Ovis aries: one gene and its partner. The protein of the gene in region 1 purifies or fractionates together with the protein of each later gene. This does not show direct contact. Links are inferred from orthologs where the notes say so. Each region holds a gene or a part of one and is shown on either strand. Other genes may lie near its edges.

The links.
Region 2: the proteins of SSRP1 (region 1) and MCM6 purify together in Homo sapiens (affinity purification with mass spectrometry; 4 studies listed by BioGRID and IntAct, with this or other methods). This does not show direct contact. The link is inferred for Ovis aries from reciprocal best matches to the Homo sapiens genes SSRP1 and MCM6.

What each region holds. Positions count from the first base shown.
Region 1 is NC_056068.1:79,361,473-79,365,283, forward strand, and holds part of SSRP1 (FACT complex subunit SSRP1), read right to left. Parts: intron 3,757-3,811; coding exon 3,653-3,756; intron 3,559-3,652; coding exon 3,430-3,558; intron 3,223-3,429; coding exon 3,001-3,222; intron 2,026-3,000; coding exon 1,953-2,025; intron 1,576-1,952; coding exon 1,437-1,575; intron 1,346-1,436; coding exon 1,300-1,345; intron 1-1,299. UniProt on the Homo sapiens protein: Component of the FACT complex, a general chromatin factor that acts to reorganize nucleosomes. The FACT complex is involved in multiple processes that require DNA as a template such as mRNA elongation, DNA replication and DNA repair.
Region 2 is NC_056055.1:174,970,004-174,973,814, forward strand, and holds part of MCM6 (DNA replication licensing factor MCM6), read left to right. Parts: intron 1-175; coding exon 176-321; intron 322-1,111; coding exon 1,112-1,262; intron 1,263-3,811. UniProt on the Homo sapiens protein: Acts as a component of the MCM2-7 complex (MCM complex) which is the replicative helicase essential for 'once per cell cycle' DNA replication initiation and elongation in eukaryotic cells.

The DNA of each region.
Region 1 (3,811 bases):
AACTAGTGTGCTCCAGCAGAGTTTTCTCTTTTTCTTTTTTCTGCTCAACCTTTGCTAATTCTTTTGGAACAAGAGAACTCCAATTCCCTGTTGGGAACCACCCAGCCCCATTCAGGGGGAGCCCACCCCAGCCACAGGCTCTAAGTGGGGTGGGGGGGGGGGTGGTGCATGGCTTAACTCTTAGTTCATCAGAGCACAGCTCAGAACTCAGACTCAGGAAGGGGAGGCAAGCACACCATCCACCACTGCTCTGAAAACAGCAGCACTTCTGAGAGTTAACTCGGAGGACTTAGCCTGCCCCGTGCTGCTCAGGGTCATTTAGCGATGCATGCACCCATCTAAAAATAAGGAAATCAGAAGTAAAAACTAATATTCCCCTCAACTTCCGAGCACCTGGACTCAGTCGTGGTGGTGGTGGTGGTGTAGTCGCTAAGTTGTGTCTCCTCTGTCCATGGGATTTTTCCAGGCAAGAATACTGGAGTGGGTTGCCATCCCCTTCTCCAGGAAATCGTCCCCACCCAGGGATGGAACCCGTAACTCCCGAATTGCAGGTGGATTCTTCAGACAGGCTCAGGTCCGTCTGAACCACCAGGGAAGCCTTTGGATTCAGGTGCCTGAGCCCAATTCTATCACCAGACTCTCTGGTTACATGACCTAATAAAACTCACTCTTACACGAAAATCAGTTTGAGTCATATTTCTGACATCGGCAATCGAGAGTCTCGATAGAGGAACTTCCCAGTGGGACACAGGTTTGATCCCTGCTCTGGGAAGATTCCAACACGCTGCAGAGCAGCTAAGCCCCGCGAGTCACAATTCCTGAAGCCCCTTGCACCCTAGAGCCCCTGCTCCAAAACAAGACAGACCACTGCAGTGAAAAGCCCACACCCCGAGAGCAGAGAGCAGCCCCTGCTCGCCGCCACCAGAGAAAGCCTGCACCCAGTGACGAACACCCAGCCCGGCCAAAAATAAAAATAAAGTTTTTTTAAAGTAGTGATGGACACTACCATCTCACAGAGGAGACACAGAGATGCACCGCCTGACCCGAGGACCGCAGCTGGGAAGCGGGCAAGCTCTGCCCCTACCCCCATTCTCCACTGTCGTTTTCTGGTTTCAGGAGATGCTTTGCACTCACAAAGCATCCTGACAACTTTAAAACGTGGCCCTGTATCACTTCAACAGCGGTCGCTTTTCTACCCTCGGTCGGTAGGTAGCTCCGGGACTTGGGAACGCTCAGAGGTATTCCAGTCCCTGAAGCTTATGGGCCACCCTCACCCCGCCGAGTAGACCCACGACTCACTCCTCTGCGACGTCCTCCTCCTCTTCACCCGGGTTGAAGGACTCATCTGAAAAAGAGCACAGGCCGCGTGAGCTCTGCGCCCCACCCCCGCCCCTGGGGACCCTGCCCCGCCCCCCGCCAGGCCGCCCACCGCCCACCGGTCTCCTCTCCCGAGTCGTCGCTGCTGTCGTTGGCGTTCTCCTCGCGGATCTTGCCCTCCTCCTTCATCCGCTCCAGGTAGGCGTCGTGCTGGTCTTCGTCCGAGTCGGCGTATTCATCATAGTTGGGGTTCATGCCCTGCAGGGCGGGCGTGGGGCTCAGGGCCAGCCCCCCGACCCGCGCCCGCGGAAGCCATCCCCATGCCTGTGAGTAGCTCGGAGCAACCGCGCCTGGAGGTGTCCACACACAGCTCAGCGCAGAGCGTCTGCCCGACTCCCTGCCAACCCAGTTAGTCCAAGCCCCTCCCGCGCCCGGCCCGCGGGGGGCCCCTGGGGGACTGCGGAGCCTGCTCTAAGGTCATGCCAGGAAACCTGTACCCGGAGGGGGAGGGTCTCACGCACCTCTTTTTTCTACAAAGGCGAGAAGAGAAGAGAGAGTGAAAAAGAAGCCGCGCCAACCCCAGCCCCTTCCCCGACAGAGAACAGGCAAGGCTCCTCCCAAGCACGCCCAGGTACCTCTTTCAGCCCTCGGTTTTTGATGTTGAGCTTCTTGGCGTTGACAAAGTCGAACAGCTTGCCATACTCCTCCCTGAGACGAGAGGGCCCCGTTACCCAGTGGGCAGGTCCGACACGGGGTGGGCTGTGGGCTATCTCAACACCCCCCAGGGGCCGCACGGACCAAGGGGCCCAAACCCTCGACAGCTCAATCACACCCGGGATCTCAGAGACCCCCGGCAGACAACAGGCAGAGAAGAGTCAGACGCTAGTCTTGAAAACTTACAGGATCTTAAGATTTCAGGGGAAGAAAACACAGGAAGCAGTGTGTGCCTGTCCACCAACACCCACAAGCAGCGGGGAGGCAGGCTGGGCGTTTTGCTGGTCTGTAACCCAGCCTTCTGGAGAAGGCGATGGCACCCCACTCCAGTACTCCTGCCTGGAGAATCCCATGGGCAGAGGAGGCTGGTGGGCTACCGTCCATCGGATCACTAGGAGTCGGACACGACTGAACGACTTCACTTTCACTTTTCACTTTCATGCATTGGAGAAGGAAATGGCAACCCACTCCAACGTTCTTGCCTGGAGAATCCCAGGGACAGGGGAGCCTGGTGGGCTGCTGTCTATGGGATTGCACAGAGTCGGACACGACTGAAGCGACTTAGCAGCAGCAGCAACCCAGCCTTCTCAGGCTGTTATGAAGGTTGACTGTAAACATGTCTGTGAAACATGTAGCCCCCAGCCAGCATTCAGTGAACAGCTGCTGTGTTCTCGGGCACAGAGATCATTCAAGGAAAGGAGGAGACAGCATTTCCATTGTGCGGGGAGAGGAAGAGGACTAGTACCAAATACATACGGCACTCAGATTTTTTTAAGTACAGAAAGCAAGCAATACAGCAGCTGCCGAAGGCTAAGCACCCCAAGAGAGAAGGCCAAATTCCAGGCAGCAAAAGAGAAACTGCTCAAGGCTCGACACATCAGAGGAGTCGCCTGCCTGGAGAGGCCGGGCCGCCCAGTGGAGGCTGGGTCGGGGCCAGGGTGCCCGGGAGGGCTGGGCAGAGGCGCTCACCTCTCAATGCTGCTGAAGGTGTACTGGGTGCCCTGCTTGGTCTCAATTTCAAAGTCAAAGGAACGCGTGGTGGTGGTCCCGCGGGCGAAGTTGACAAAGGAGATCTCGTCGAAGCGGATGTGCACGGGCGGCTTGTGGACGTAGATGAAGCCCCGCTCCAGGGGGTACAGCAGCCCTGAGCTGGCCTTGTAGGAGCAGGTGATGCACTGGGCCCCCGAGTGCCTGGGGAGGGGGCGCGGTCAGTGCCGCCTGGGCAGCCCGCCTGGGCAACATGCCCCAAGCCCCCCGGTGTGTAGGCCTCAGGGGGGCTGCCCCCTCCAGCGACAGCCCACCCAGGGCCCCGCGGGGCGGCGTTCCCAGCAGGGGCTCACCTGAGAGCGCACCTCCCCACCCCCCATGGCAGGCAGCAGCCCAGGCTGGCGCGCTCACCCTTGGAAGTTGCCCGGGACCGTGATCTTGCGGTTCACCAGCGCTTTCATGACCCGGCTGACCATCTCGTAGAGGGATCCTGACATGTTCTTGGTGAGCCGCCCCTCGAAGCGCTTCTCCACCTCCTCCCTGAGGACAGCAAGAGGCGGGCGGGGTCGCTGCGGGCTTCCGCCTGCCCGCCCCCCCGCCCGCCCCTGCCCAGGCAGGGAACAGCCTCACTCACTCGTTCATGTTGAGCGTCAGGGAGATGTCCTCGTCCTTGGAGAAAAGCAGGATGAGGAAGTGGTAGCGAGTCTGACCCTGCTTGATGGGAGGGTCCAGGCTGATCTGCGGGGGGAAGGACCGAGCAGGCTCAGCGCCAGCCGGGGCTCGGAGGCCCAGC
Region 2 (3,811 bases), on another chromosome or scaffold:
CAAGGAACTATAATGATAACAAAGACTAACTGGTTTTGCTACAGAAGGTACTCTTCTGAAAATTCCAAAGCCTAAATGAAATTTTAGATTTTTTTGGTTTTATTTATCTGGGCAGTTCTGATTATCAGTACCTTCAGTATCTAGCTATGAAACAACCTGTCATTCAATGTTTCAGGAGCACGCGCAGAAACTGATTCCCGAGTCAGTGGTGTTGATGGATATGAGACAGAAGGTGTTCGAGGTCTCCGGGCCCTTGGTGTTAGAGACCTTTCATACAGGCTAGTCTTTCTTGCCTGCTGTGTTGCACCAACCAACCCAAGGGTGAGTGTCTTAGTAGAATGGCAAAGCTTAAGAAAGACATTACCTGAGGCTGCCACAAATTCAGTGTTAAAGACAAAGGTTTGGGTTGAGATTTGCTCTTTAGCTCTAAAACCAGACTTTTTCATGCCTTGTTTTCCTGACCTTAGGGAAAAGTCTTATTTTTATGTGTTCAAGTTCGGTGCTCTAAGGATATTGGTGCTATTATTATTAATGGTGGTTTTTCTGGAGGTGGGGGTGGTCTTGTTTGTTTTTTAATTGTTACAGTTCCTCTGTCACACTCCTTGAGAAAGTACAAATAGAAAAATTTCGTAATCTGGGCAATAGCTTATAAATTACTCTTTCTGAGAGTGATTGACTCCCTGGTATTGTAGTGGTTGAGAACTTAATTTTGTTTGCAGGATGGGAAAGCAGTGAGAAAAAGTTTGGAAAATAGTCCAGTGTTGGGAAATGAGGAGTGAACATAATATTCTGTTCATTCTCATCTTCGTAACAATGATTACCATTTTATTATGGCTCATCTCTTGAGCATCTGGATTCATTTAGATAGCAATGCAAAACAATGGTGGTAGCTTTTTTTGTTATTTATAAATCACTGGACAGATGACAAGCTCTTTGGTATTTTGGCTAACTTAGGCCTTTCTGGTTAGAAGATTTTTTTCAAAAAGACCTTTACAGGCAACAGATTTTGACCTCCCAGGATGTATTTTGTTTCTGGTGATGTTTCTTCTCTTTCACATTATTTTGACTTATTTCTATACTACTATTTTTTTCCTTTTCTTCTCCCCCTCAGTTTGGAGGAAAAGAACTCCGAGATGAGGAACAGACAGCTGAGAGCATTAAGAACCAAATGACTGTGAAGGAGTGGGAGAAAGTGTTTGAAATGAGTCAAGATAAAAATCTGTATCACAATCTTTGTACAAGCCTGTTCCCTACTATACATGGTAAGAAGTCTTATCTGTGAAATAAGCTTGAAGTCAAAGTAATGTTTGTAAAACAGCAACATGTGACTTCTTAAAATACACAAATCAGATGTTAAAAGGTTTTTAGTGGGTTTAGAAGGGGTTTTTAAAAGTCATTTATAAAAGGACAGATATTACATGGTTCCAGTTGAGATGAGATACTTAAAATAGGTAAATTCATAGAGAAAGTAGAAAAAGATTACCTGTTGAGGAGAGAAATAGGGAATTGTTTATGGATAGAATTTGTGTTTGGTGTTATGAAAAGACCTAGAAGTGAATGGGTTATGGTTGTAAAAGATAGTGAATGAATGTACTTAAACCCCTTCTGAACCCCTTAAAAATGGTTGCGGTGGTTAATTTTATGTTGTGTGTATTTTGCCAGTTTTCTTTTGAAAAAAAGAAAAAATCATTTAGTCTTTTTCTGGCTTTAGGACAGAACTGCACTTAAGTATATTCTTAATATGCCAGATTAACATCCTGATCTCTTTTTCTTGTTAGTTTTCACAATGGGAAGAGATTTCATATTGTTTTTTTGATTATATGTACTGTGCCTAAGCCTGGCATGCTGCAGTTCATGGGGTCACAAAGAATTAGATACGGCTTAGCGACTGAACAACTGTGCCTATACCTTGTGGTTTCTGCTTTCGCACTTTCTTAGCTGTTGGTTGCTAGCTGCTCACTGTCATTAAATCCCTTGCACACTGAAGGATATGACTAACTTTTCAGATCTCATGCTTTGTTTTTTTTCCATCCCTCCATATTCAGTTGAAGTAAAGGCAAGAGTTCATAAGATTATGGTTATTTGTCTTAGGTATGTATTTTTAATCATTGAAAATTAACCTTTTTTTCTGCTTAAATATTTGGTCAGTGAAATTGAACTGAAATCCTTAATATTAATAATCCTTTGTGGGTTTTAGAGTATCCTCCCTTAGAATGCTGCTGCTGCTAAGTCACGTCAGTCGTGTCCAACTCTGTGTGATCCCATAGACGGCAGCCCACCAGGCTCCCCAGTCCCTGGGATTCTCCAGGCAAGAACACTGGAGTGGGTTGCCATTTCCTTTTCCAGTGCAGGAAAGTGAAAAGTGAAAGTGAAGTTGCTCAGTCCTGTCTGACTCTTCACGAACCCATGGACTGCAGCCTACCAGGCTCCTCCATCCATGGGATTTCCCAGGCAAGAGTACTGGAGTGGGTTTGCCATTGCCTTCCTTAGAATGAGTCGGTATCAAATTTTTATACTGTTTCATTCCCCCACCATAAATTAATCTATTGCTTCATAACAAATTATCCCAAACTTAATGGCTTAAAACAACAAGCATATTTCATACTGTCTGTAGATCAGGAATTTGAGGGAAACTTAGCTGTGTGGTCTTGGTCAGTCTTTGTAGATTTTGTAGCCAAGATGTCAACTAGGGCTGTAGTCATCTGAAGGCTTGACTTGAGCTGGAGGATCCACTTACAAGGATGCACTCACTGCTTATCTGTCAGTGCTTGTTGTTAGCTGGAAGCCTCAATTCCTTACCATATGAGTCTCTTCCCTGGACTGTTTCAGTGTCCTCGTAGCACAACAGCTGGCTTCCCTCAGAGCATGCAGTCCAGGAGAGCAGAGCCAGGAGGAAGCAAAATGCTTCTCGAGACCTAGTGCTAGAAGTTTTACACCTTCTCTTCCACCATATGCTATTTGTGGGAACCAAGTTACTAAGCCCAGCCACACTGAAGGAGAGGAGAATTAAGCTGTCATCTAGAAATGAGGATTATCAAAGAATTTGTGGGTTATTTTAAACTACCGCACCTCCAACGCATTTGTTTCATACAGGTTATAAGTCAGAAATTTTGTTTTTGGAATGGATTTTAAATTTTCTGCTTCTAAGGAGTGCTTTGTGTACCTGTGCCAGCATTTCGTTGATGGCATTCACAGAAGGTCATAATAATTAAGACAGAAGAATGTTTCTTCCAATATCACATTTCTAAAATTTGGTGTTATGTTTTTTTTTAATTGTTCATTTCCTTCTTGTATTTAAAAACCATTTTTAGAAGCACTGTAGATCACATTCAGCATCTTGCCTAATCTGTATCAGTTCAATTAGCTTGTATTTATATTTAGCTTTGGGTCACTATTCCTGATACAAAAGAGGTAAGTCATGGATCATTTCCTGAAACTCTTGATAGAACTATATAACCTGCAGTTGGAAAGAACTAGCGAATATGGTAGGCTGTAGTGGACATAGTTTATTTATGGGGAGAGATATTTGAGGACCGTGACATAGGGAAAGACTTTGTATAGGAAGCAGGACTTATAGACAAGGAAAGACTCTTAGAATGGTGAGCATCAGCATCTGTTTCAGGTGAAGGTATTAGTATAGTGATTAGGTGACTGTAGATTCATAGGATGAGAACCAAGATCAAGATGAGAAACCAGAAAGATATTTTAACTTTGGTCTTAGCTTTGCTTCAGCTGCTTCTGCTCTTTTGGTTGGTAAACATGCCTTTGTAGTGTCCTGTGAAATTGTTTAAACTTGTGTTGAAAAACACTT